Linked DNA regions of Arabidopsis thaliana. The protein of the gene in region 1 interacts with the protein of each later gene in a pairwise test. Each region holds a gene or a part of one and is shown on either strand. Other genes may lie near its edges. The genes, in order: PIP5K9 and CINV1.

Region 1 (13,241 bases):
TAAGAAATTAATATGTTATATTTTACACCAGACTTTTTAATGAGGGTAACAAAATTTAAAAGCTCGAACATGTTATGTTAAATTGGTCATGAATATACGGTGATAAACTGATAACAAATCCTTAAGAAAAAAAAAACAAGAAAACAAAATCTGTCCGTGGTAACCACGTGTATTGTGCACTAGCCACTTTACGTGTATTGAGAAAATGTTTTTACCAAATCATCTAACTAATTGTCTTTCTCCAATGCTAGGAAGTTGTTTGTTAATTTAAATTAAAAATAGAGGAAATATCTTTATGAATCTGCAGCTAATATCATGAATCTACAAATTACTATGATTATAACAAAACTCCAACTTGCTGTAGAATTGGCAAACAAATAGTCAAATGCAGTAATTTAGTGTTTGATATACAAATTAAAGACCACTAATTAAAGGGACATGTACATTTGTAATAGCTATGATACCATGAACACTTTAATTTTTAAAACAAGACTGTTGTTTCAATTTCAGTTCATATAATTAGTGATTTTATTTTTCTCTTTTTACATACGGTGGTGAGATGATTTATATCCAAGTAAGAGGGAGAATATTGCCCTAGTACCAAAACAAGTATGAGAAGGTATGGCGTACTTTAAAAGGAATAGAAATCGAGATCGAGACTTTCTCTTTGGACGTTTTCTTGAGGTATACGGATTGAAGTATCGATTTATGATTGGCCAATACTTAAAATTTTATCTCCATCGGATATCATTCCATACTATATGCTTCTCTCGATCGTTAATTCGCTGAATAGACTCTCCACGTTAAAATACAACTAAAAAAAAATGATTGATGATGAAGAACGTTTTTTGGTCTCGCAAAATTAATAAATTATTAAAGTAATGGGACTGGGAATATATATATATATATATAACAAGAAAGAGAAAACGACAATATAATGGAATTTTCTTTTAGTAAGTGGTAGCCAAACCCCACTACTCGGATCGGTGGCTGTAGTTGTTTGATTTTAGATAATATGCAAAACTTAAGGTACTTGGATAGCTAGGTAGATATTGTGAAATTACTCAGATTCTAAAACGAAAATATGATGATATGATCATTTTTCTTACTAATATACTGTATATCATTCTCGATTGATGTCTAAGTCTACTAATAATGGGAAAAGATAAGTTTTGTTTTAAAAAAAATAGAAATGAGAAAATAAAAGTTGTGGCTATAAATGCCCTATATTACAGATTTATACTCTATTTTAAGACATTTTCATAAGACGGTAGATCGATTCTATTTCTATTCTTCTGGTTTTTCTCGCGTCTCATATGTAATTCGTAAGTTGTACGTAGCATGGGGATATCATACTTTTTTCTATACTTTTTTTTGTCATTATAAAGTCCTTTTTCTATTGTTAATTAAGCTTCCTTTTTTTTTGGTTAGTACGTTTCCCTGAATACAAAAATAATAATTAACTTTTTTGATCACTAGCTAATCCCAGCATCATTATAATAATGCACCGAAAAAGATATGTAAAAGTGTTTAATCATATAGCACATCACAATGACTACATATCATTAGAACATTCCTTCGTTAACAGTATTGAATATTTATACTACTTTCTAATGAATACGATTAAATTAATTCCCTCATAATTAATACTACTTTATAGCTAACCCCCAGATCTCGTTATTCAATTAAGAGTAAGGCATGTAATGCCGATTTAGACTGATTTCAAAAGATTTTCTCGAACAATAAAAATATGTAATCAACTTCTTTTCTTTTTCTTTCAAACTCAAATTTGTTGGGTCAACTTGTAGTATATTCAAACTCAAATTGGTGAGCAGAAGTTGACTTAAAAATATTGGGAAGCACGTGGATTAGTGTAAGAAAAACACAATGTAATGTTTCCCTTCACCGGCCAAGCAGGTCAACATCTCTACCTTCTAAACACACATCAATTTTTTGTTGAATATTATATTTCATCGATTAAACAACTAAACTTATATTTGAAAAAATATCTCAAACCACTCGGATAATAGAAAGATCAGAGTATTGATAATTATTAAATCTTTGATTATTTCACCAGCTACAAAACTTTTCTAAATAGATATGTATATAAACAAAACCACTCTTGTAAGAGTAATAAGTGGGGTTAGATCAGAAAATACCCAAAATAAAAGAATAAAAGAGGCATTAATTAATGCAAAGGTTATATCCGTCATTTTGGTGTAAAGTAAAAAGCTTGAATTTTTATGGAAGCTGAAATAAGAAGGCTGTTATTGTGGCGCTTAGCTTTCGGGATTTGGTCCAGTCGTCTCTTTTAGAAAGATTTGACCAACACTGAGGCTGAAGAAGACGAAGAAAGAAGAAGAAAGTGAAGAGCTTTGAGCTTGTCCGTACGGTTTGTGAATCTCCTTTACTTCCCCAGTTTCCTTATTTAGTGAGCTTGATTTGGTTTTTGGATCCGGTTTCATTCTCGAATTCGGGCATTTCTCTGTTTTTGGTTCTCTTTGGATTGAAGAAGTCTTTAACCGGGATCTTCGGTTTTTGTTGCTTTCGTTTTATCTTTGTTGAAGATTGAAGATTGAAATGGAGTTGCTTGTTGATTGTGTTAATCAAAGTTTTTAACTTTTGTTTCCATCGACACGACTCTGATATGTACTTATATAGAGCTCTGATGGGGTTTCATTATGAATTTCAAATTCAGATTGAAACATTGAAACTTTGTTATGAACATTTTTTGTTTTTCATTTGCTCAATTCCTAAAAAGTAGGATTCTTTCTAGCTTTTTGGTTTGGTAAATTTGGCATACTCTGCCTTTATTTGGGAGACGTGGAGGAATCTCTTCTTTTTAAATGTGAATTCAATATAAAAGTTTAGATTTTTTTTTATATAAAGGCTTTATGATTGTAGACTCGTCTTCTTCCATAAAAGGCTTTCTTTTTGATAGGAAAAAGGGATTTTTGTTTGCTCCTCTCTCATTCTCTGCCTCTCTCTGTGAAATTTAGAAGTTCTTGTTCTTTCAAGTGGGACCAAGAATCAGATGCGTGTCTTAATTTTCTTGTTTGATAGAGATTTGAGCAAGTCTTTGCTTTTGTGACCATTTATCTATTTTCATGTTTTCCTCATTAGTTTTAGATTATTGCATGCATCAAAAGTTAGTTACTCTTTTTTATTCTTTCTGATTCTGATTCTAGATTCATACATCGTGACTTGGAACCTGATTCTTGCATCTGCTTTCTTCGTTGAATAGCTGAGCACATTCTGTTTCACCAGTTTACTGGAGGTAGCTTCATGTTTTGTTGAAAGAATGTTCTCCTTAAGGCTGTGAAGCCTTTTGCTCTGCGGTTTGTCTGAGCGTTTCTGCTTTAGCTTCTTTGGAGATTTACATGTCTGGCCTTGACGTACGAGGAGCAGTTTCTTTTGCTGAAAGAACTAAATCTGTTGATGCACTTACTAAGAAAGAGATCCTATCGGCGCTAAACAGTGGAGAAGTTTCCGAAACTTCTGAGGATGCTAGGTTCAGAGTTAGGGAGCTGGTTCTCCCCGATGGCGAATCCTACAGTGGTTCTTTGCTTGGAAATGTACCCGAGGGACCAGGGAAGTACATATGGTCAGATGGGTGTGTTTACGATGGAGAATGGAGGCGTGGGATGAGACATGGAATTGGAAATATGAGATGGGCTTCCGGGGCATCTTATGATGGTGAATTTTCAGGCGGTTATATGCACGGTTCAGGGACCTATGTGGATGCTAACAAGTTAACGTATAAAGGAAGATGGCGGCTTAATTTGAAACATGGGCTCGGATATCAGGTTTACCCTAATGGAGATGTCTTTGAAGGTTCTTGGATTCAGGGATTGGGAGAAGGACCAGGGAAGTATACTTGGGCTAATAAAAATGTCTATCTCGGGGATATGAAAGGCGGGAAAATGTCAGGAAAGGGTACACTTACTTGGGTTACCGGAGATTCCTATGAAGGAAGTTGGTTGAATGGAATGATGCATGGTGTTGGTGTATATACGTGGAGCGATGGAGGTTGCTATGTTGGGACATGGACACGGGGTTTGAAAGACGGTAAAGGCTCGTTTTATTCAGCGGGAACCAGAGTTCCGGTAGTGCAAGAGTTTTATTTAAATGCTCTTAGAAAGAGAGGTGTTTTGCCAGATATGAGAAGACAGAACCAAGTTGCTTCCTCGGTTAATATGGAAAACCTTAGAGTTGGTGTGAACCGTAATAAGCTCTCAAAAGGGAGCTTAATAAACTTAGAACAGTCCCGCAATGGAAGGGTTTCTTTAGAAAGACGTTGGAGTCTTGAAGTATCTATTGAGAAAGTGATTGGACATGGTTACTCGGATTTATCTACGGCAGTTTTAGATAGCGGAAGTAGTGTGCAGTATAAAGCTAACATACCAATCTTGGAGAGGGAATATATGCAAGGTGTTCTGATCAGTGAGCTTGTGGTAAACAACGGGTTTTCGCGCACATCCAGAAGAGCAAAAAGGAAACACAAAAGACTTGTTAAAGAAGCTAAGAAGCCTGGAGAAGTTGTTATTAAAGGTCACCGGAGTTATGATCTGATGCTCAGTTTGCAGCTTGGAATCAGGTATGCTTGCTCCTTCTAAACCTGTGCCCTGTGAGCGTGTTTAGCTCTAAATTCATCACCGAATATTGTTGTTACTGAACTAGTTCAAACGTTAGATACACAGTGGGGAAAATTACGCCAATACAAAGACGACAAGTTCGGACAGCAGACTTTGGACCTCGGGCTAGTTTTTGGATGACTTTTCCTCGAGCTGGCTCCACGATGACTCCTCCGCACCACTCGGAGGATTTTAAATGGAAGGACTATTGCCCAATGGTATTCAGGTTAGAACTTGTGTACTGCATACTTTTTTCTTAGTAGTATGTTAACTATAGTAGTTGTGTCCTTGGTGTTTATATTCATTGCTAAACCTTGTAGAAACCTGAGGGAGATGTTCAAGATCGATGCAGCTGATTATATGATGTCCATTTGTGGAAATGATACTTTAAGAGAACTTTCTTCTCCAGGGAAGAGCGGCAGCGTCTTCTTCCTGTCGCAGGATGATCGGTTCATGATCAAAACACTCAGGAAATCTGAAGTCAAGGTTTGTGACTACTTACATATCCACCATCTCTGTTTTCACATTATCTTCTTAGTTTTCTCCATGTCTTTGCGTAGACTCTTTGTCCGTCTGCCCATTGAGCTTCCAGATTTACTGTGTAGGTTCTTCTGAGGATGCTTCCAGATTACCATCATCATGTGAAGACATATGAGAACACCCTCATTACTAAATTCTTTGGCCTTCACAGAATCAAACCATCAAGTGGTCAAAAGGTCCTGAACCAAAATACCTCAAGATTCTGATTTTGATTTTTTATTATCATTAGCTTTGAAGTTGCCGACATTGCTGCCTCTAAATATGATGTAGAGTAGAACTCTAACATTAGAGCAACATTTGGAAATCCAAATCAATCTTAAAACTAACTATGTTTGAAAATTTCTCTTCCATTGCAGTTCCGTTTTGTGGTGATGGGTAACATGTTCTTTACAGATCTAAGAATCCATCGGAGATTTGACCTTAAAGGTTCGTCCTTGGGACGCTCTGCAGACAAAGTCGAGATAGACGAGAACACGATACTTAAAGATTTAGATCTGAACTACAGCTTCTTCTTGGAGACTTCTTGGCGGGAAGGTTTACTGAGGTATTACTCTCTCCAGGACCTTCTTGTAAGATATATACATTTATCAATCCATATTCCGCAGTTTAAAATTTCTTTTCTTGCTGTGTAAACAGGCAACTAGAGATCGATAGCAAGTTCTTGGAAGCACAGAACATAATGGATTACAGTCTTTTGCTCGGTGTGCATCATCGAGCTCCACAGCACTTAAGATCCCAATTGGTCCGTTCTCAAAGTATAACAACTGATGCTCTGGAAAGTGTAGCTGAAGATGGTGAGATTCTTTTTTTCATCACCTGTAAAATGATTCATACTATTTTTCTTCTACTGATGATGATGAAAGCAGATACAATCGAGGACGACATGCTGTCTTACCACGAAGGATTGGTTCTCGTTCCTCGGGGAAGTGAAAATACTGTAACTGGCCCTCACATCAGAGGCAGCAGATTACGAGCATCCGCTGTTGGTGATGAAGAAGTAGATCTCCTTCTTCCTGGAACAGCCAGGTAACTAACTCTCACCTGGTTGGAAAAATGAAAAACTAAGACTTAACAAATGCTGATGACAAATAAATGGAATACATATGATCCAGACGACATGGAACTGATTGAAACTTAGTCCAGTTCGGTTTTTGAAAAGAATCTCTATAAAATGCAGGCTGCAGATACAGCAAGGAGTGAACATGCCGGCAAGAGCAGAGCTGATACCGGGAAGAGAAGATAAAGAGAAGCAGATTTTACATGACTGCTGCGACGTCGTACTCTACCTTGGCATTATAGACATCTTACAAGAGTACAACATGACCAAGAAGATTGAACATGCTTATAAATCTCTTCACTTTGATTCTCTTTCGATCTCAGCCGTTGATCCAACATTCTACTCCCAACGTTTTCTTGAGTTCATCAAGAAAGTATTTCCACAGAACAACAAATCATAGACAGAGAATTGAGTACAGAGTTTTATGTTTTTTTTTGTAGAGATAAAAAAGAATTCTATGTTGTAAGTATGTTGTATACAGATCTTGAGAGCTTCAATAAATAAGTAAAAAACTAATTCTCCTTTTCTTGATTGCATGAAGTATTTGGTTTAATTATTAAAAGGCAAAAATATAAATAATCAAAAGTCACAGAAAAGCCCTAACGTGTTGTCTTCTTCTTCTTCTTCTTTTGAAGAGTAAGAAATCAATGTCGTCCCTGGAAAAGAAGAGGAAGAGGAAGACTACGACTAGGACAAAGAAGAAGAAGCTGTCCCCAAATCAGTCAATCCCTATGATTTGCTATTGGACATCATCGCACGCGTCCCAAGATTGTACTATCCGACTCTCTCACTCGTTTCCAAGAGCTTTCGATCCCTCCTAGCTTCACCGGAGCTTTACAAGGCCAGCAGGTCATTCTTGGGTCACACCGAGCGTTGTCTCTATGTGTGCTTACGGTGCTGTCCTGGTTATCGCTGGTTCACCCTGTGTCGGAAGCCAGATCAAACCCTATCCAATGACACCACTGAAAAGAAGTCAAGTGGGTATGTTTTGGCAACAGTCCCCATTCCTAGTTTTCATAAACCGCGCTTTTCGAGTCTCGTGGTGGTTGGTTCTGATATCTACTACATCCACGGGCCCTCCTCTAACGTCTCGATTCTGGATTGCCGGTCTCACACGTGGCGCCAGGTTCAAAGCTCGATTCTAGATTGTCGGTCTCACAGGCGGCGCAAGGCTCCAATCTTGCCGGTGGAACATTCGTCACTTACTGCTAGCGTCCTTGGTGAAAAGATATATGTAGCAGGATGTTACAGCGATATGCATTTAGGTTCTTCTTTCTTTGAGGTGTTCGACACGAAAACGGAAGTTTGGGTTAGTGAGCCCATCCCTTACAGCGACAGAAAATACAACTTTCTTCACCCCAAAAGCATTTGTATTGATGGAAAGATCCATGTAGTGACTGACAGTGAGGGGGTTGTTGCTTACAATCCCAAGGAAGGTATATGGTTGGATTTGGATCAGTATATGCGTTCAGATTCTTATTGTGAGATAGATGATATTTTGTACTCTGTTTATAGCAGAACGGTTATATGGTATGACACTGAGGCAAGCAGGTGGAGATATTTGGAGGGCTTAGGACAACTTACGTTTCCTCTTGGTGCTTCTATTAGGGCTTAGGAAAGTTAGCGGTTTTGTGGGACGAGGATTTGCTTTATGGTTTGACTAGTTTCGTCTATAAGAAGAAGATTTGGTGTGCGGAGATTTCGCTTGAAAGAAGCAAAAGTTGCGAAAGTTTTGGGAAGTTGAATGGTTTGATCATGTGCTTACAGTGCCTAAAGAATGTGAATTGGTGAAAGTTCTTGCTGCTACTGTTTAATAATTGCGTCACAAGGCTTGAAACGAGGTCTCTTTGTCTCTTTATTCACTTGTAATCATTTGATTTCACTTGCTGATTGATTGTTAAGCTTACTTTGTTGTGACCAAAATGCTTTTGATAACTACGGTCGTCTCTTTACATATGTGTAAACAAAACAAAAAAACACTTTGGAGAGTAATTGATTTGAATGGTTAATTTTGCAACAGAAAGAGTTTTTTTTTTTTTTGGTTATGTTTTAAAGTGTAAAAAAAGCCTTTGTTCATGTACTTGTTCCAAAACTGATAGTAACTTGTAATCCATACAAGTGAACTTGTGAACACTCTTTATAACAACTTATCTTTCATGAGAGCTTCACTAAGAAAACTAGTTTTCCTTTGTGTTTTTTTGGGTCTGAATCGCCGCAAACCGCAAAAGATAATTGCAAACGTAACAGTAGTGCTTTGATTGCATGAAATATTTGGTTTTATAATAAAAAGCTAGGAAAAAATAAAAAAAAATTTGGGAGGGAGCAACAAACACGTGGATACAAAACAAGACGGACTTTGGAAGAAACGTTGAAACAGAAACAGATACGTGTCGTGAAGCGAAATGTCGGAGAAAGGAGAAGAAGCAGTAAAGAGTTCTTTAATGTTTTTGACAGTATTTGTTCAACAATTCTCATTAACGTTTTTCATTATTTGTTTTCTGCTCTGTAAAGAATAAAGTTTCTTAATTTGTTGTATGAATCATAGATTTCTCTGCAGAGGCAAAGTTTTCTCTCTTCTTTTTTCGATTCATTCTTTTACAAGATAACATAAAAATCACTTCTTTTGTTTGTTTGTTTATCTAAGTTGAATTTGATTTGATCTCTTTACTGTAGTATTAGATAGAGTGAGAGATTGTAGAAGAAAATGGGATCTTCTTCTGGGCAAAGTGGGTATGATCTATCTTTCAAGATCTTGTTGATTGGAGATTCTGGTGTTGGTAAAAGCAGCTTGCTTCTCAGCTTCATTTCCAGCTCTGTCGAAGATCTTGCTCCCACCATTGGTAATTTATCGTTCGTTCTTAACAGTCTTAGAGCTAGAATCTTGACTGGTCAAACTTCAAATATCTCTTTGTCGACATGATTTTTTTTTGCATTGAAGGCTAGCTTATTGTTTGTGAGCTAGACCACTGTCTGGTCAAAATTCAAATGAAGTTGAAGTTTGAGAACTTGAAGTTTTCTTTATGATTTTCTGTTTGAAAATAAACTCGGAAAACATAACTCTTGATGCTTATCTGAATTTGAAGCCTGCTTGAGTCTGATCAGTATAACATTGTAGGTGTTGACTTTAAGATCAAACAGATGAAAGTAAGAGGGAAAAGGCTGAAACTTACAATCTGGGACACAGGTAAAAAAGCAATAAGAGCAATTCGAGTTTTTGGAACGTGTGTAGTTGGTTACTACAAAACTCATGGTCCATGTGATTTCTTGTTTGTGATTGTTGTGTAGCTGGACAAGAAAAGTTCAGAACATTGACAAGTTCTTATTTCAGAGGCTCCCAAGGAATCATTCTCGGTAATGATATATGAGATCATATAATTGTCAGTAGCTGTTGTCGTAATAAGTTCTCAAGACTTGTATTAATACTCTCTCCGGATTTTCTTGGTCATGGTGCAGTTTATGATGTCACGAAAAGAGAGACATTTTTGAACTTGGCAGATATTTGGGCTAAAGAGATTGAGCTATATTCGACTAACCATGACTGCATTAAGATGCTCGTTGGCAACAAAGTTGATAGAGTGAGTAGCAGTAGTAGTAACACTTGTAGTCAAACAACTTGAGATCGGTTTCACTGATAGTTGTCATTGCAGGAATCAGAAAGGAAGGTTAGCCGGGAAGAAGGAATGGCTCTAGCGAAAGACCTCAATTGTTTGTTTCATGAATGTAGCGCAAGAACCCGAGAAAACGTGAACGGATGCTTCGAAGAGCTAGCTTTGAAGGTAAGAAAGAATCTTGATGATCCCTTTTCACTTTCAAAACCGGTCGAAACTGAGGAAAATAAATAATAGGAGAGTTGCAAAATGAAACAGATAATGGAGGTACCTAGTCTTTTGGAAGAAGGATCAAGCTCTGTGAAGAGAAAACCGGATTACCGAGCTCATCAAGGCCGGTGTTGCAGCTCGTGAGTCACCTTGTTAAAATCGGGTCGGAAGTAGCCTCTTTTGTGTGTAAATTTCTCAAGAAGCTTGACTTCTCTGTAAATTTATCAATTCCTTCGATCTTTCTTCTTCTTGCCTCGGCGGAGATTTTGTAATAAGTTTGTAACCCCAGAATATATGAAAAAAAGGCACTTCATGTTCTTATTATCTCGTGATTACTTTTAGTCTGAAATTTTATATCTGTCACAAAACACAGGAACGAGATAACTCTCTAATTTCGAGCCTTGAAGCCGTAGCTTACACACATAACATCTGCATTTCATTAATTCAAAGTTTAAGCACTTAAACATTGTCTACCATTACCAGTACAGTGTTTGGCCATCGAGATAGCAAAATACACACAGCTATCAATTAAGTCTATCCTCCTACTAATAAGAACATAGGACGATCCCTTGAATGATGCGAAGAAGATTAAAGACGGTAAGAGATTAGAAACAGGTTCAGAGAACTTCTAAACATAACTGCAGCAAGCTGATTTCTCATTTGTAGAAGACGATGAGGCTTTGTTAGCATCTTGTTTAGTGATCTTGATCCCTTGGGGCTGCAAATCAACAAAGACAGTATTTGATTTTCCTCAGCAATATTTACAGTTTCATAATCCGAGTATCAAGCGAATAGTAGATTCCATGTGCTTCTTTACCTCGGCTTTTGTATCGCTTTCTGTGAGTCTTTGTTTTATGTCTTTAGCGATAGAAAGGAAAACCTGCTCGACATTCTGGTTTGTTTTTGCACTCTGCAACAGTTTCCAATCATATTTAAGAAAATGAAAATCTTCAAACAAACAATGAATGAGGAGACAAACATATTATATATTTTCGCACTCACCGTCTCAAAGAATTTGATTCCATACTCATCAGCAAGAGCTTGTCCTTTTGATGTTGGGACAGCCTGTAGAATAAGATGCAGCATCAGTATCCTACGAAATGTAGGCAAAACATGGTCAGGATTGTGAACAGAGTACAGAGCAAAATTACCCTTTTGCTTTCGTCCATGTCGGCTTTGTTACCGACCAATATCTTGTTGACACTATCGGACGCATGCTGCTCAATGTTTTTCATCCAGTTCCTAATGTCTGGAGAAGCAATTTGTGTTAGTTCCCACACAAAGGTGACTTTTAAGTTCTAGTAAGAATATAGTTCCTGGTACAAAGAAAAGCCAGAAGACCTACTGTTGAATGATGACTCATCTGTTACATCATAGACGAGTAATATACCCATCGCTCCTCTGTAATATGCTGCAAAGAAAAATGGACCAAAAGAGTTACAAAGAAATGTCATCTGAACTTTATTAACAAGAAAGAAAGTAAACAAATAGACTTAGAATGATGAGTAATCATCTAACAGAGGAATCAGCAGATTCATACACAAAACATAAAGAGTGATCTTCACTTCACATAGAGCAGAGAGAAGTTTTAACCTGTGGTTATAGTTCTAAAACGTTCTTGTCCAGCAGTGTCCCATATCTGCAATTTGATACGCTTCCCATCAAGTTCGACTGTTCTTATCTTGAAGTCGATTCTGAAAAACATGAAACGTACTTAAACCGAACTTTTCAACAATCTAACAAGACAAGATACAAAGTCAAAGAAAGAAAGACATACCCAATGGTAGTAATGAAACTCGTGGTGAAAGTATCATCCGAAAAACGCAGTAACAAGCAACTTTTTCCCACACCTGCGTATACACACACACACATAAGTACGAAATGAAGAGAAGAAAATTTAACACAAAAAAATGATGATTTGTGCAACTCTATCTGAACTCATTGTAAAATCAAGTTAATAAAACTGATTCATTAGTTCTTCACAAAATCTAAGTTTGAGATATTGCTTATAATTGAGCCAAAACTTCCAAAAGGGAACTACGTTGATACTTCAATTAAAAGAGAGTGTAGCTCATCTACTTTGTTGATCAAACACGAAAGAAAAACAAAAAACGCAAAAAAGTTCAAAATCATAAACCTAATTCAGATCGCAAAACAGGCAGGAGAGAAGATTCTCGGATAAAAATGCAATAGTCTCTGAACCTCGTTTGTTCAGTACTTCTTAAGAGATAGAAAGGCAGAGACTTACCGCTATCACCGATGAGGAGAAGCTTGATGAGATAATCATAGTCTGAACGAGCTCTTGCCGGCGCAACCGCCATCGGAGAAGATGTTAGTAATCACTATTCTGTATCCTCTTTCTAAACAGAAACTAAAACCGAGCTTTTGCTATTTTCCCCCGGAAAATCTCTTCTCGCCGGAGACAGCCAAAAAGAAAGGAAAGAGGCAGAATAAGTGCTCTGCTTGCTATCAAGTTCAAAGCTGCTCATTGGTGGATCATATTTTATTACTTTTTACTGTTTTAGTCTTTTATTTCTCAAGTATTCACACTTCAATCCACCAACTTATTAAACCGCTCAATTTCCTTCTTGTTAATATAGATGTTTGAAATGTTTAAAATTGATTCCAGTTTTCTTACAAAGAAACTAGTATATTTTGTACTACTCAAATCTGATAATAATTTCATGATTAAAACCGACACGGAAGTTCTTAATTCCATAGGTATCAAAATTTGAAACCTTTTGTATATGAAACCACCAAAAAACAGGATTAAGAAAAAGTTAACATTTTGCTACTACTTCACTGAGTCGCCAAAACTGGCCAATGAACTCTGCAGATTTGCAGCATCACTAGGAGATCATTGAGTTGTTTATCGCTTCTTCGAGTATCCTCTTAGCATCAGTGTTTAAATCAGCTAATTCACCTGGTGTCTGCATTATCACAACCTTGTTATTATCGCTAACCATACTTCAAAAGCCAAAGATAGAAATTGCTTTCAAATGTTTTTTTTCACCTTCCCATAGGAGTTTTGTGTCGTTGGTGAAGCCCCGGAACCCAGCAAAAACCTAACCACGTCAACATGTTCACCTCTTGCTGCGTGATGCAGAGGCTGTGAACAAGAAAAACTTTGGGATGAATTACATTATAGAGAGCAAGAGCTAGAGGGAATGAGGCAATTGAAGATTGAGAATA
Region 2 (15,988 bases), on another chromosome or scaffold:
TTTGAAGTGAGATTTATAACAAACCGTTTCAAGATGATAACTCTAACATTGAACTTAATCACACTCTAGAACTAGCAATAAACGACACTTGAAACATTTTATTTGGGTTAACAAAACCAAACTGTAATTATACCATATTAAATTCTATAAGTTTTTAAATCAAAATCGAATAAGAATTATTGGCTAATATCATTTATATATTATTCTATATCTTATTTCGTGAATTCTATCATTATATAAAAAGATACATTTTTCAGTAACGTTAAATTCAATGAAAACGATTGTACATGTTTTATCTCAAACGTTTGTGTTAGTTATGGAAAGACTACATGATTGTAACGTAAAGTTGCTTTCTTTCTTTTTTTTTGTCTTGCAAATGCCAAAATACCACCGAATGGTAGAGCCACTGGACAAGAGAGACTCGGCAATGTTCATTGATCTAATTTATGAGTTTACATAGTTTTAAACTTAATTGTTAATGTTTATATATATATTGAACATAATTACTTTTTCATTTGATACAGATAATTACATTTTTGTAAGGACTTTAGTTCAGTACACTTTTATAGTGAGATTTGAGGTTATCAACTTCTCGGATTGGTTTGGAGCATCTAAGATAATCCTAATGCTCTATCACTTTCTTTGTAGAGATAAGAGCTATACAATGAGTTTCGATTCGGTTAATTCTCTCCACAAGATAAATAATGTGCATCGATCTTTTAGGTTTTAGTTCAGACTTTTTTTTTCGGTTTTGGTAGTTCCTAGTTAATTCACATATTAGAGATTTATTAGTTTGTTTTCTAAGTTTTACTTTATCATTTTATATTTTTGGTTGTTTGTATGTTTTATTTTTCTGGAATTTCGTTCTGTGAGGATATCTAAATATTTTTTTCTGACTTTTATTTTAGAGAGAATATTAATTATTCCCGATGATATATCGTTGTATGTTATAAAGTTATATTAATACTATTCAAATGATATGAGAGTTCGATCCATACTTTTCTAATATGGTATCAGAGCCCGATCTACACATACTCAATCTAATCCATATCAGTTCGGCCCAATACTTGCCCCATCGATCCATGCTCGAATAAATCAAGATTAATGGCTAGAAAAATCATCATCTTGAGAGATCGTATTAAAAATATTTTACATTAAAAGTTGAGTAGGATTTTAAGTGGTATATATAAGATATGAATTTGTATACCTATCGCCGATTAGTTTTAGGTTGAAAGTTTACAGTTTAATAAAAAAATGGTTTGGTAGTCTTCTATTTGTGCCGAGTCATGCCTTGATTATTCTATGAATTGATATTTTTGTCGATCTGAAAGAAGGAACACGAGGAACATATGGTTAACAGCTTAAACACTATTTGTTTATTCATCGACGTGTATTGCATTTTCTTGGTAGCTTTTCTTCTACGATATGTTATTCCTAAATCCTAACCACCTTATAATTTATATCATTTTTCTCTACAAGATTTTTTTTTGTTAAATATTTTCCTCTACAAGATATAGCTAGCTATTTTAATTTTATATAATCAAAGCATCTATTCCACGATATGTTATTATGTTATCCTTATATTCTAACCACCTTATAATTTACATCAATTTCCCTTACAGGATAGCTATTTAGCCAATCATATCATTTTCTTTAATGTTATTTTGATAGTTTTCCAGAGTCCTGTTTTATACTCCTAGTATAATTTTAATTCATAGCATATAATTTGTGAAGTCCTAGTTGGATAACAGTAATAAAATATTTGTTGGGTGAATCTTCAATATACTTAATTGTTTTACCTTTTTCGACCTATAGCTTATATATGTGAATATTGAAATATATTTTCGTAATATGCCTCATATTCTGAATTTACTTTTGTATAAACAGGTATAAATATATATAAATATTGAAAGATATTTTCGCAATATGCCTCATATTCTGAACTTACTTTTGTATAAACAGGTATAAATGTGAAATATGTTTGAATGTTTTTATAGAATGTTGTTATAGCTATGACTGATGGTATAGAAAATGAAATTCAATCTTTCAAATTTAAATTATAAGAAGTAGTGCAAGTCTTTCTTTTTTTTGGTCCACATAGAAATTTTTTTTAACCCAAGAACAATAGGATTTAAAGCCCTTCATGCTTACTATATATATATATATATATATTTTTGGGGTTAAAATTCATGCTTACTAGCTAGTTAGTTTAGGTAATGTGACTTGATTAACGATGTCAGTTGTTAAAGCCACTAGGCCAGAAATCATTATAGCAAAAGTGCATCGTGAATGTGCTTGCGGTTGTTGGAATGTTCGAAAACAAGCATTTGCGTTTATAAACGTTAATAAACACAGTTTATGCGATTGATGTAAAGATTGGAAATAGATAAGTTATTGAAACAATTTTGAATAGTAGTCGATAGCATGTGGTGATGATTTTTCAATAGTATTTGTTATACGTGAGTGTGGTAGATGTTAAAATCAGGTGTGGTGATTTTAGTATCTCACAAAAAGATTGCAATTAAAAAAAACATAAATAAACAAAATATTGAATTAAATTATATAAAAATAGAAATAAATCAAGAAAAGATAACGGTACGGTGCTTATTACTGATGTTGAGTTAAATTTTTTTTTTTTAACAATCGATATTAATTAGAACTCAAAAAAAGTTAATTTCGAGGAATATTGTTTATATATGTGGTATGATTCGGTTTGATACGAATCTTTTGTGTCAAATTATCTGTTTTTTTATTTGTATTACAAGAAATTAAAGATAAATGTAGTATGATGCAGATCGGTACGAATCTTTCATGCTAATTATCTGTTTTTACATTTACACTATGAAAAATTAAAAAAAAAAAATTGTGCTAATTGAATTACACAAAAAATGAAGAAGTAAATGTCGTAGCTAAAATTTATGGGAAACAGAAGTGTCCCCATTTTTGGCTGTGCTCTGTCCTAATTATGCATAACATTACCTAGTTATTACAAAAACAAAACCTTTTTTGATGAAAATTTGTCAATTAATATATTTACCTTTTAACTAGAGTATATGGATATTATATTATCTTGTGTGACAAGTTTCGAAATTGCATTTTACATTATGCTATTCTAAAATTATAGTTTTAAAATGTTCCAAAGATCTGAAAATAGATACACCTTTCATTAAAGGGAAAAAACCCTAGTAGCCTCCTTCTCTCTCGCTTAGTGCCGCTTCTCTTCTGTTCAAAACTTGGCCGGCGCGTGGCGGCTCTCATAGCGCCGGCGTCGGTCCCTCATGTCTTAGTTTTAGTCTGTAGTCTTTGCTTTCTCTTCGGTGTGGTTGCGTGGTGGTTCGACGAGAATTTTGATGTCTGCAATTTTGGTTTTAGATCTGCAATTTTGGTGAGGGAGCTCTTAATTGATGGATTTGGAGATTATTAGAGAGGTGAGTTGCTTCTCTGAGTGGTGTCTTGGAGCTTAGATAACGGATCTATCAGATCCTTTGCTACTGTGGTTGTTGATGGACACTCTCGACGGTATGGTTCTTCCCCTCCCAGATCGGATTTGAACTTTTGTGGCTTAGTCTCGTTGTCTCATTGTTCTTCTTCTATATTACATGTTTGTTTGGGAGACTTGTATCGATGGTGGTGACTCTGTTTGTGGATTATATCTTTAGATCTTTGCTCTACCTCTCTATTGTGTCCTCTTACTTGTTCGGAGTTGCATTTTGGACTGGTTTCGTTCTTGGTGTTGGCCACTTTGATGGTATTTCGTTGCTGAGCTACCTACTAGCCTATCTTGTTTGGAGTTAGGTTCTAGGCAAAGCAATGGATTCGTTCTCTAGTTCTTCTCTGGGGGACGTCATCAGCTTTTTGTCTGTAGGTGTGCGGAAGCTGCATTCGACGAGGGCCCGCGTGTAAGAACTAGTGATCTTAATTGGCTTATCTCTTGTCGATCTCCAAGGCTTTTGTCTTGTCCCTAGTGCATTTGCTATCTCGGTTTGGTTGGTGAGGTGTGATGGTGTTTGTATTTGTGTCTCTCGTTCTGGTGGCTTCTTGCTTTCCTCCCTGTCGGATTGCTACTGGTTTGACTTCGGTGTGAAATCTTTCCGATCTTATTGGTGCTTCCGACGTTCACCGTTTCTTTGGGGAAGCTTTGTGAGAGCTTTTGGTTCCTTTGCGCAATTTTAGTGCTTAAATCTTCGTTTTTTCTTAACGGTTGATTTTTTTTAGATATTTGTTTCTTTGTTTTCATTGCTGGTCTAAATAGTTTCTCCGTTTCTTTGGGGCTTAGCTACCCTCTTTTAAGCTTAATTTCTCGAGACATTTTGTTGGTCTGCCGGCTTTTATATTTGAAATGGTATCCTACTTTGGTTTCTTAATAAAATTCTGGCGACAAAATTTTTTTTTTTCGAAAGATCTTGTCATAAATATTTCCTACTGCCTTTTGCAATACGTTACAATGTTGACAATTAGTAAAATTCCTCATTTTTTCCTTAAGAAAATATATAATACCAAATGATGATGATTCCACGTATAGATGTCTATCTCATTGCGATACTATATTAATATAAATCAATTTCTTCCAATTTCTGACCATCATATTAGTATTATATTGACTTTTATATTTGGTCTGCATTAATTATATGTTCCCCATAAATAGTTAGCAAATCCGGTTCGGATATGTAGGTCCAAAGCCTTTTGTATTTTTATCCACGCAAATTTTTCTTGAATCGTACGTAAATATTGAATTCCACGTTTCCATATACAAAACCAAATCAAATATAATTACTTTTACAACAACCCCATTTACGATTTGAGAAACAAAAACGTAAATAACTTACGAATTTTCATGTTCTTGAATCTTTTCAGCAGGAAAATAGTAAAATAACTCAATGTTTTTATGGAATAATTAAAAAAGAAATAGAGAAAACTGTTTAATTTTCAAATTATTCCAAATTTTGTTAGAAAAGAAGTTGACCTTGAATATCTAGTTTGATTCTCTATTTGAGATAGCTATTTATCCCTTTTAGTTTTTAGGTTCATAAAAATGTACAGTTTTGTACTTTGCACATTATCAAAAATGTAGAAGAAAAGTAAATTATTGATTTGATTGGTGACTTAAAATTATATAAATTTGTTTTACAGATAAAAAAACTATAAACAATACCAAAATAATTAAAAATAATACTAATAAAAATTAGAAAATAACGACTTTACATGATATTTTTGGATATCAGCTTTGAATGGTAATTCATTATCAAAACACTACAGTTTGTATATGTTTGACAATTATCATTCACAAAATTTTTATCAAAAACATTACAAAAATTTTTAGTAGAAAACTTTATTATACAACTTTCTCTGCTTATTTTTTTACAGTTTTACACTATTTTTAAAGCTCTTATAATTGTAGTTAACATCAAAAAAATTTGTACAAATTTGTATTACCAATCGGACTCATTATTTTTGCGATTAGTAATAACTAAAGAGGTATTAGTCCGATTCGGATCTAATATTGGACTTAAGACATTGGAACTTGGGACGACCTCGAATAAACCCTAACAACTTGGAGAGATAAATACATTTAGAGGCTGTCAATTTTCTAAAAAATTAATACAAAAATCATAGTAAATATATTATTATTAAATACCTAGTAAATGTACTGTCCACCTAACACTTCAAAAAAAGTTTGGTGTATCGGTCAAAAAAAAAAACTGGGCAACCGATAAAACAAGTTTCCAAGAAGAAAAACACAAACGCCAAATCAGCCCAAGTCACAAATCCGTCGTCGTTTAGTCCACGTAGACTTCACAAAGTCTACCTTTTTCACCGGTTATAACCGGTAAACTAAAATTCTCCTCTCTTTTACCAGTCCCGTTGAAACTCCGTTAAACTTTTCCGTTTCTCCGTCATTATAAATATCAATCTTCTTCACTCTATCGTTTTTTTTTTTTCCTTCTTCTTCCCTCTCCTATAAATCTCTCCGTCTTCTCTCTTCTCTCATTTCACGTCGGAGATCATTTTCTCCTCCTCCGCCTCCGCCTCCACCGCCACCGCCACCGCCGCCGCCGACGACTTTTCTCACTTACTCAACACCAGAGGTCTCTCTCTCACTGTTTCTTCTTCTCCTTTCTTTCGATTTCGTTTGGTAGATTTTTAGATCTGATTTTTTTCTGGTCTCTGTAGCTTTACTTGAAGTTGACTCTGTTTCTCGTTATAGATCTTGATCTGTTTATGATTTCGAATAAGAACAGCTTCAAGCATAATTTTATATTCGAATAAAAATTAGATGCAATGTGTTTATTTCGCGTGTTCCAACTACACGAGTTTTTTTTTTTTTTTTGGATTAGGAGTTATAACAATCTCATTGATCTTATTGTTTTGATTTTAGATCTTGGTTTAGTGTTATAATGGAAGGTGTTGGACTAAGAGCTGTAGGATCACACTGTTCTTTATCTGAGATGGATGATCTTGATTTGACTCGAGCTTTGGATAAACCAAGATTGAAGATCGAAAGGAAGAGATCGTTTGATGAAAGATCGATGAGTGAGCTATCGACTGGTTACAGTAGACATGACGGTATACACGATTCGCCGCGAGGTAGATCGGTGCTTGATACGCCTCTTTCTTCTGCTAGAAACTCCTTTGAGCCTCATCCTATGATGGCTGAAGCTTGGGAGGCTTTAAGAAGGTCAATGGTCTTCTTCCGTGGTCAACCTGTTGGTACTCTTGCCGCGGTTGATAATACTACCGATGAAGTCTTGAACTATGATCAGGTAAAACTATCGAAAAGTTTTCATGGTTTTATCTCAAAACGTTTCAAAATGTTTTTTTTGCGGTTGTTGTAGGTGTTTGTGAGGGATTTTGTACCGAGTGCGTTGGCGTTTCTGATGAATGGAGAACCGGATATAGTGAAGCATTTTTTGCTTAAGACACTTCAGCTGCAAGGTTGGGAGAAACGTGTGGATCGGTTTAAGTTAGGAGAAGGTGTGATGCCTGCAAGTTTCAAGGTGCTTCATGATCCTATCCGTGAAACGGATAACATTGTTGCGGATTTCGGTGAGAGTGCTATTGGACGTGTGGCTCCTGTAGATTCAGGGTTCTGGTGGATTATTCTTCTTCGTGCTTATACCAAATCTACTGGAGATTTGACTCTCTCTGAGACACCAGAGTGTCAAAAGGGAATGAAACTGATCTTGTCTTTGTGCTTAGCTGAAGGGTTTGACACGTTTCCTACACTGCTTTGTGCTGATGGATGTTCCATGATTGATCGAAGAATGGTATTAAAAGCAATCTTTGATCGAAACTGATTGTTGTTTCTTGTTTTGTTTGGCTATTAAGATTGATTTCTTTTTTTTCCTGTATTTGAAGGGTGTTTATGGGTATCCCATTGAGATCCAAGCGTTGTTCTTCATGGCTTTGAGATCTGCTTTGTCGATGTTAAAGCCCGATGGAGATGGCAGAGAGGTCATTGAGAGGATCGTTAAGCGACTTCATGCCTTGAGCTTCCATATGCGCAATTACTTCTGGCTTGATCATCAGAACCTCAATGACATTTACAGGTATAGTTATTTCATTTGCTTTAGATGATATGTAGAGTCACAAAAGATCACTATAACTTATAGTACATTTGTTTAAAAAGGTTCAAGACTGAGGAATACTCTCACACGGCGGTGAACAAGTTCAATGTGATGCCTGATTCTATACCCGAGTGGGTTTTCGACTTCATGCCTCTCCGTGGAGGCTACTTTGTGGGAAACGTAGGACCTGCCCATATGGATTTCCGGTGGTTCGCACTCGGTAATTGTGTCTCCATACTTTCTTCATTGGCCACTCCAGATCAATCCATGGCCATTATGGACCTCCTTGAGCACCGGTGGGCAGAGCTTGTAGGTGAGATGCCTCTCAAGATTTGTTATCCATGCCTCGAGGGCCATGAGTGGCGCATCGTTACTGGCTGTGACCCCAAGAACACACGGTGGAGCTACCACAATGGTGGATCTTGGCCAGGTCTTTTTTCTTTCCCTGGAGACTGATTGCATGAGACATTTCTTATCTCGCTTAACTGAGATTTTCGCTAGACCTAGCCATTAGGGTTTTTTTCGGTTTGATTTGGGTTTCAATTTTTTTTTGTAGACTGGCATAAGAACAGAAATATTCATTTAAGATAGTTTAGCTAGATTTTAGTTATAAAAACTCAGTACTTAGTTTAGCTACAGTTTGGTTGTGGTTTGGATTATTCATATGAACGTATAGATACATTTTAGTTTGGTTCAACTTTTGTATCTTATGATCGCATTTCTTTCTTAAATATATACATTTGTGGCAACCTTTGATATATTTTGTTTTGAAATGTTTTGATAGATTGAATAATGAACATCATGTTGTGTAGTGTTAAATTTGTCAATAAAATTGAATACAGAATCTGACCGCCTTTTTGTTTCTCTGCTCAATGTACAGTTTTGCTGTGGCAGCTAACAGCAGCGTGCATTAAGACAGGGAGACCGCAGATCGCAAGACGCGCGGTTGACCTCATAGAATCGCGTCTTCACCGAGACTGTTGGCCAGAGTATTACGACGGTAAGCTCGGAAGGTACGTTGGAAAACAGGCAAGGAAATACCAGACTTGGTCAATCGCAGGTTACTTAGTGGCGAAAATGTTGCTAGAAGATCCTTCACACATTGGTATGATCTCTCTTGAAGAAGACAAACTCATGAAACCAGTCATCAAGCGATCTGCGTCTTGGCCACAACTCTGAAAAACCGCTTTAGGTTTTTGTTCCGGTTCTAATATTTGCCACGATATGATTTTTTGTTGTTGTTGTTTGTATGATAATGTTATTGAAAACTTGTGCGGGGACATAGACTTTTTATTGATTGCTTTCTTTCTTGCTTTGCAAGTAAGGAAAAAGAAAATGGGAAAAGCTCGTTTGCCGTTTTTATCGAAATTACACCTTTTTTTTTAATAATTTGCATTTTGGCGCTATTGCAATATGAATATCTTTCAATAAGCTGAAATGACCGATTCTTATTGGTGTAATAGGTGAAATTATCTTTATTATAATCATGATTTGAAGTTAGCCTCCACTCAAATTCAATACCAAAAGCCTCACTCATTTGGTCGATTGATTTCAGTACATATATAATTAGGATAATGTAACACTATTCTAAATTAAACTTATCCATATAATGAGTATTTTACTCTTACGGTAAAAGTGTATTTGAGTATAAATACTTTACAATGTACACATTAAACACTTAATGAGAAATAATACGATTCTGTTATTTTTACTTTCTCTTTTTTAACTCTTGTTTCTTCAGCTTGAGTTTGTTATAGAGGAGAAAGAATCCTAATATTGTATCAGAGCTTCTCCGATCATGAGCTTCTCTTCAATCGAAATTCGTTCTCATTCATCTCTTTCAATTTCTTTCTGATTCATGTTGTATCATTTTCCTCGCGATTCTTCAATTCGTGTTCGTGAGTGAAATCTGAGTTTCTTCATTTTCATTTTCTGACCTAATTGCTTCCGATTCTCTTCTAAATCTCTTTTCAAAGTAATCTCTATCATCTTTTGATCTTCTTTCAACTATGGAATCAAATCCATTTCGTCCATCTTTTCTTGATGCAACATCGAACAATTTCAATCCGCAACATCACAGTTTTTTTTTTTTGAAAATAATGTTAAATTAGATTAAAAAAATAGTGTTTTTACTACAAGTGCAACGTATAATTTATATGAAATAAATTGAAATCAGAAAGTAGAATGAATAAGCTTTGTGATGTTAATCGACAAGTATAAATACTTTACAATGTACACATTAAACACTTAATGAGGAATATTACGATTCTGTTATTTTTACTTTCTTTTTTCTCTCTGGACTCTTGTTTCTTCGGCTTGAATTTCTTACAAAGGAAAAGGAATCCTGATAATCCATTTGACTAAATATCGACTATAGTCTTGTATTTAGTATAGTAAAACAAGATGATGTTTATTTAAATGATGTAAATAATTTTCTTGTCTCATTTATGTCAAAAATGTATATATTTCTATTTATTTAAATAAACTGCACAATAATCCTGGTTTTGTATTCTGATGGGCATCACTCGACGTTCATGTAGACAAAAGAAGAATGAGACTTTATTGTGAATTGATGTACATTGATTTTGTGTCAAACAATTAAACAAAAATATTTGTCGGCTAATACAATTCTTTGGAAAAAGAATCATTGGGTCATTGACTCATTGGCCCATTTCCCAAATCACATATCCAGCCCGAGTCGGCACGATACAGCATCGCCGGCCTTTTGGTATGGCACAACAAACTGATTTTCACGTGGTTTAAGTTTCTCCTTTTGGTAATATTAATACACGTGGTTTAAGTTTCTCCTTTTTTCTTCAAAATGTACACCATTTGACCGTTAAGTCAACATTTCAAGTTTTCTAAGCTAGCTATTTTACACCTCCATTTCTCACCGAAGCAAACTCTATTTATGACATTCCAATACACCAGCATATAATGTTCTCGACGAGGATTCCATCATGTCCAAAAACTGGTTTTCTAATTAGTGCTTTCACCGGAAAATCTACCAGAAAAAGTGGCTGTTAACACATTTGAAAACGGAGTAAGATCGTCAACATTTTTTTTTTTTCTTTATAACTTGTGAATATATATTACCTCGAAACGAAAAAGTTATTTACAAAGTCAGAAGACAGACATGCCCAAACAAAATTTAAAAGCTAAATTTGAAATACATTTAACTGAAACAGAAAAATTAACTATGGAAGAACCATTGAGACAAGAGTCTCCCACAACATTTCATGCAAAGACGAGTTAGAAGATTGTCAATATTAGTCACATGCTATGAGAGAAGGAAAAACAAAGCATTGAAAAAGTATTCTAAAATTATCGGAGGAAGAAATATTGAAGTACGATGTTGTAGGTGATCGGGGGCAAATTGATCTTGGAATAAGTAAGCATAAAACAGTAGCAGAGGCTTGGGAAGGCTATAGACAAAGACGACACAGATCTACTCACCTTCAGGCCATAGAAACAGCTCTCTTACAACAAAGAAACGATAGAACAGAGGATGAGGACATTGTTCTTTGGAAAGGTAAAAATGACGTATATAAGCCACAGTTCTTGACTAAAGAGACCTTGAATCATATGCGGACCATATCCATGGACGTTGATTGGTATAAGGGTGTTTGGTTTGGTCATTCCACGCCAAAGTACTCTTTTTGTGTTTGGTTAGCAGTTCTTAACCGACTCTCAACAGGAGACAGAATGACTCATTGGAATGGAGGTCAGTCAGCCGCTTGTGTGCTATGTCACAACGCTCCCGAAACCCGGGATCATCTCTTCTTCTCCTGTGACTTTGCTTCGATAGTTTGGAGTAACTTAGCAAGAGGAATCTATGGAGACAGATTTTCTACACATTGGCAAGACCTGATACAAGCCATCTCCGGCTCTTGGATGACACCGCTTGACAGTTTCTTTGCGCGATATCTCTTTCAAGCCACGGTACACACCATTTGGCGCGAAAGGAACGGAAGGAATCATGGAGAGAAACCAAACTCAGCAGCTCTTTTAATCAAATGAATAGACAAACAAACTCGGAACCAGCTTTGTTCGATCAAAGCAAGTGGAGATAAGAGATATGACAAGGGCTTACAAGCTTGGTTTGCGATGAGAGAATGAGAAACAATTTTTAGATTGTATTCTAGTTTTTGCTCCAGTTTTTTCAACAAAATGTTGCACATAGATGTAAAAACGCTATTTTTTTTTTGGATTTAATTTAACATTACATTAAAAAAAAAAAAAAAAAAAGTACGATGTATATCACAAGATTATAGAAATACGAGATTCTATGTATCTAGGTGGTATCAAAGAGAAGTGAAAGGTTGAGGAAACTTTTTACAAGAAATGTAAAATGGGATGAGTGAAATTAAAGGGAATGAAAGAGAGTAGAATTGTTTTTTGGATGAGAACTCATGAGATCATACCTACACACAAGACCAACCCAAAGCTAAAACCTGTAAAGCATGGGCTTTTTAGGCAGTAGATGATTCTAAAACAATTTAAAAGCACCATTTTAGAGATATATATGGTCGAAGAGTGATTAACACTTTCACTCTCTCACCATTTTATTTTATTTTTAACGTCTTGCCTACACATTTAAAACATTAATTGGTTGATACTTTTATACTTTTTTAAGCAATTAAAATAATTTATTTAAAAATAAATGTATATAAAAAAATATTAATAGTTTATTTCTTAGATACTCAATGAGTCTCCATCCAATGAAGGTGCTCTAACAGAATCTTGAACAAGGCTACATACTATATGGTCTTGTAAATGAACATTTTCACTTTTTGGAGAGAACAGAGACAAGACAATGGACCGTGGGAGGATCCAGAGTTTCAGACCAAACATCACGTTTTTTTATCACTCGCTTCTTGTACTTCTTCAACTATCTCTGACTGTTTTACTGTTTTCTTTCACTGCTAATGCTTACACGTGCATCTGTCTCAACAATTATTTTTCAGGAAAATAAAAAATAAGAGAGATTATATATACAGTTCAAAATATAATTGCATATATATATATATATATATATATAAATTATATAAAATATACTGTTCAAATATAAAGTTTTTTTTATAGTGGTTTGGTTTCACTTTCATTGTTATCTATAATTTAGCTCACGGTGCGTACATGTAACTTACATTAAGAACAGCCAAAAAGCTCAAGCTCGTGTCCAAATTAAGATTCCGAATGGTATAGCTAGCAATATAATATATTATATGGTTTTGGATTGATAAAAACATAAAACCTAATAAAGGAATTTAATTGATATAAAAAATGAAACAATAATACAGTCTAAATATTCAATTATGAATTAAAATATTGCAATAAATCAGTTAATAGGCATTAATACTAATATGATTATACATACATGGTTAATCACTAAGAGCAACGTGAATATCAATAAACTAATTGATTTACTACGCTTGCATAATTATTTTCCTTAAAACTTTTTGATTTCGAATACTTTGTTAACACCCTGATACATGTGCATATAACATAGTAGGCTGAAATTGGACTATTCTTAGACAGTTTTCACATCTAGAATGAGATGTATAGGTTTCGTTGAGAAAAATTGTAGTTGAGATGATTAGTTATATATAACCTATGTCTGTGGGTGCTAATTTGGCAGATGGGAAAAGAATTGAAGCCTTTATATATAGTCTTCAATTATTAGTATCATCGTTAATAAAAACAGTGGTCCTTATCTCTCAACAAGTCTTTCATCAAATTCGGATAACAAAGACAAAATAGAGAATCAAAGAAAGAGACATTTGTGTTATTATCAGTAAATTATTAAAAAAATAAATAATATTAAAACACTATTATATTGGGTGTAAATTGGCTCTATGATTAGTGATTAGTTTTTTTCTTTTCCCCCATAGAACATTCAACGTTTCCCACCCATGCAAAATCCAACCTAAAAGCCAAACTTTATAAGGAAACCAACAAATAGATCCCTACAATCTAAAGATTGCAACAAAAATGCCCCAAAATTATAATCTTAGACAATCCACACCTTTTTCAATCATGTAAAACACTTCCAAACTTTTCATAGTCCATTGCTAAAAATAGTTTTAGTCTCACAAAGTTAGACCAAAATTCAATACATTCGGCGCATAATTATTTTTATACTACAATATAGTAAGTGTGATAATAACCAAACAAAAAAAGGTTAAGTGATCATTTGGTGTGGAAACAGCAAATATTGGTCTCTACTCTCTACTACAAAAACCTAGTGGGACTACAAATGAAAATAAAACACAAAAGAAAAAGAAAGTGAAAGTCTCTCTCTCTTTTCTACAAGCTGCTTCATCTTCTTCCTCTCACTCTCTCTTTCTCCAAACAAGTAAACAACAGTCAACACAAACTCATAGCCCCACCAGAAAAAAAAAATACTCCAAGAATTTATAGGTTATAAGTAAAAATTCAGTACAAGTTTGTTTGTTTGTTTATTCCATTTTCTTGTGTGTTTTTTTCCCCATAATTTATAAATTTTATAAGCAATATGGAGTCCCACAACAACAACCAGAGCAACAACAACACCACTGGTTCGGCCCATCTGGTCCCATCCATGGGACCAATCTCCGGTTCAGTCTCATTAACCACCACTGCTCCAAACTCCACTACCACCACCGTCACCGCCGCTAAAACACCCGCAAAACGACCGTCCAAGGACCGTCACATCAAAGTAGACGGACGTGGCCGGAGGATACGTATGCCGGCTATCTGCGCAGCACGTGTCTTCCAACTAACACGTGAGTTACAACACAAATCGGACGGCGAGACTATAGAGTGGCTGCTCCAACAAGCGGAGCCAGCTATCATCGCAGCCACCGGAACTGGAACCATACCGGCGAATATCTCTACTTTGAACATCTCTCTTCGAAGCAGTGGCTCTACTCTTTCAGCTCCACTGTCTAAATCTTTCCACATGGGAAGAGCGGCTCAAAACGCTGCCGTTTTTGGGTTCCAGCAACAGCTTTATCATCCTCATCATATCACGACAGATTCTTCTTCTTCTTCTCTTCCCAAAACATTCCGTGAAGAAGATCTTTTTAAAGATCCTAATTTTCTAGATCAAGAACCCGGTTCAAGATCACCTAAACCGGGATCCGAAGCTCCTGATCAAGATCCGGGTTCGACCCGGTCAAGAACACAAAATATGATACCGCCGATGTGGGCACTAGCGCCAACGCCAGCCTCCACAAACGGAGGTAGTGCTTTTTGGATGTTACCAGTCGGAGGAGGAGGAGGTCCGGCTAACGTTCAGGATCCATCACAGCACATGTGGGCGTTTAATCCGGGTCATTACCCGGGTCGAATCGGGTCGGTTCAGCTAGGGTCTATGTTAGTGGGAGGTCAACAGTTAGGGTTAGGTGTTGCAGAAAATAACAATTTGGGGCTATTTTCCGGCGGAGGAGGAGACGGTGGTCGGGTTGGTCTCGGAATGAGTCTTGAGCAAAAGCCTCAACATCAAGTGAGTGATCATGCTACTAGAGACCAAAATCCTACTATAGATGGTTCTCCTTGAAAGACTTCATGATTTCTTTGGTTTTTAAAAAGTGTGAATGTGTGATTTATTGCAACTTTTGTTGAGGACTCCAATGTTAATATGGGTTTTAGGGTTGGCTTTTCGGGATTGCCAAATTGTTATTTAAGAAAATGGATTTATTGTTTTGGTTGCATAATAATTAACGAGTTTTGCAACTCTTTTTATTCGATGCAAAAGCATGTCACTTAAAGGAAATATAGTTGAATCTCTATGTGTAACATAATGGACAAAAGAATAAATTAAATATTTATCAGAATGCCTTTTCTCTTTTGTTGAAGGGTATAATTGAATACACCTTCTTTGACCGCTCATATATTTCAAATATTTCGAATTGATTGCAGTTCGTAAAAAGCTAACGAATATAAATAAAAAATTATATGGTGTAGACTGTAGTGATAAACTTTATTGGGTGCATGAGCACCACATGTTTGGATACAAATGGGTTTTTAGATTTATATATTAATTCTCTTTTAAAATTCGTATTTTGTCTATCATACTTTTGTAGTATCTACCAAAAAATTGTCCACTTGTGGAGCAACATGGACACGTCAGAGAGAACTCCTATGCCACAGTAAATTCCAATGTGTTTGAAAAATAGGCTGGACGGGTAATCAGGCGAAATGCCGTTTTTAATGTGACTAGGGGTTAGCCCGGATATATATTTTGATAATTGATATTTTCAAGTTAGTTGATATAGTTTAAAAAAAATATTGGATTTGATTTCGGAAGTGTATATAATAGATGGTTTATTGGGATTTTTATATATTTACTATTTTTAATATATTTAAAATATATTAGAAATAATATGTTATCATGTCAAGAAGAAAGAATATGATTTATTTTACTTGTGATTTATATATCT

What was found.
Region 2: the proteins of PIP5K9 (region 1) and CINV1 interact in binary tests that used the Arabidopsis thaliana proteins (3 or more experiments, as listed by UniProt).

The regions. Positions count from the first base shown.
Region 1 is NC_003074.8:3,033,816-3,047,056, reverse strand, and holds PIP5K9 (phosphatidyl inositol monophosphate 5 kinase), read left to right. Parts: upstream 1-2,137; 5' UTR 2,138-2,392; exon of another isoform or gene 2,393-3,188; 5' UTR 3,189-3,380; coding exon 3,381-4,597; intron 4,598-4,692; coding exon 4,693-4,860; intron 4,861-4,954; coding exon 4,955-5,120; intron 5,121-5,239; coding exon 5,240-5,350; intron 5,351-5,530; coding exon 5,531-5,718; intron 5,719-5,810; coding exon 5,811-5,968; intron 5,969-6,040; coding exon 6,041-6,200; intron 6,201-6,351; coding exon 6,352-6,631; 3' UTR 6,632-6,667; exon of another isoform or gene 6,668-6,754; intron 6,755-6,870; exon of another isoform or gene 6,871-8,042; intron 8,043-8,257; 3' UTR 8,258-8,277; downstream 8,278-13,241. Other genes in the region: RABC2b (RAB GTPase homolog C2B), read left to right, coding at 8,936-9,071, 9,347-9,415, 9,517-9,582, 9,685-9,806, 9,879-10,007, 10,098-10,193; RABE1e (RAB GTPase homolog E1E), read right to left, coding at 10,678-10,767, 10,867-10,959, 11,052-11,114, 11,201-11,298, 11,395-11,460, 11,643-11,743, 11,827-11,899, 12,298-12,370; AT3G09890 (Ankyrin repeat family protein), read right to left, coding at 12,899-12,979, 13,063-13,158. UniProt on the Arabidopsis thaliana protein: Plays a role in sugar-mediated root development. Interaction with CINV1 induces repression of CINV1 activity and negative regulation of sugar-mediated root cell elongation.
Region 2 is NC_003070.9:13,115,216-13,131,203, reverse strand, and holds CINV1 (cytosolic invertase 1), read left to right. Parts: upstream 1-5,875; 5' UTR 5,876-6,086; intron 6,087-6,376; 5' UTR 6,377-6,395; coding exon 6,396-6,761; intron 6,762-6,833; coding exon 6,834-7,265; intron 7,266-7,356; coding exon 7,357-7,547; intron 7,548-7,627; coding exon 7,628-7,995; coding exon of another isoform or gene 7,996-8,021; exon of another isoform or gene 8,022-8,445; coding exon 8,446-8,744; 3' UTR 8,745-9,122; downstream 9,123-15,988. Other genes in the region: AT1G35560 (TCP family transcription factor), read left to right, coding at 14,080-15,105. UniProt on the Arabidopsis thaliana protein: Cytosolic invertase that specifically cleaves sucrose into glucose and fructose and is involved in the regulation of multiple tissue development including primary root elongation, root hair growth, leaf and silique development, and floral transition.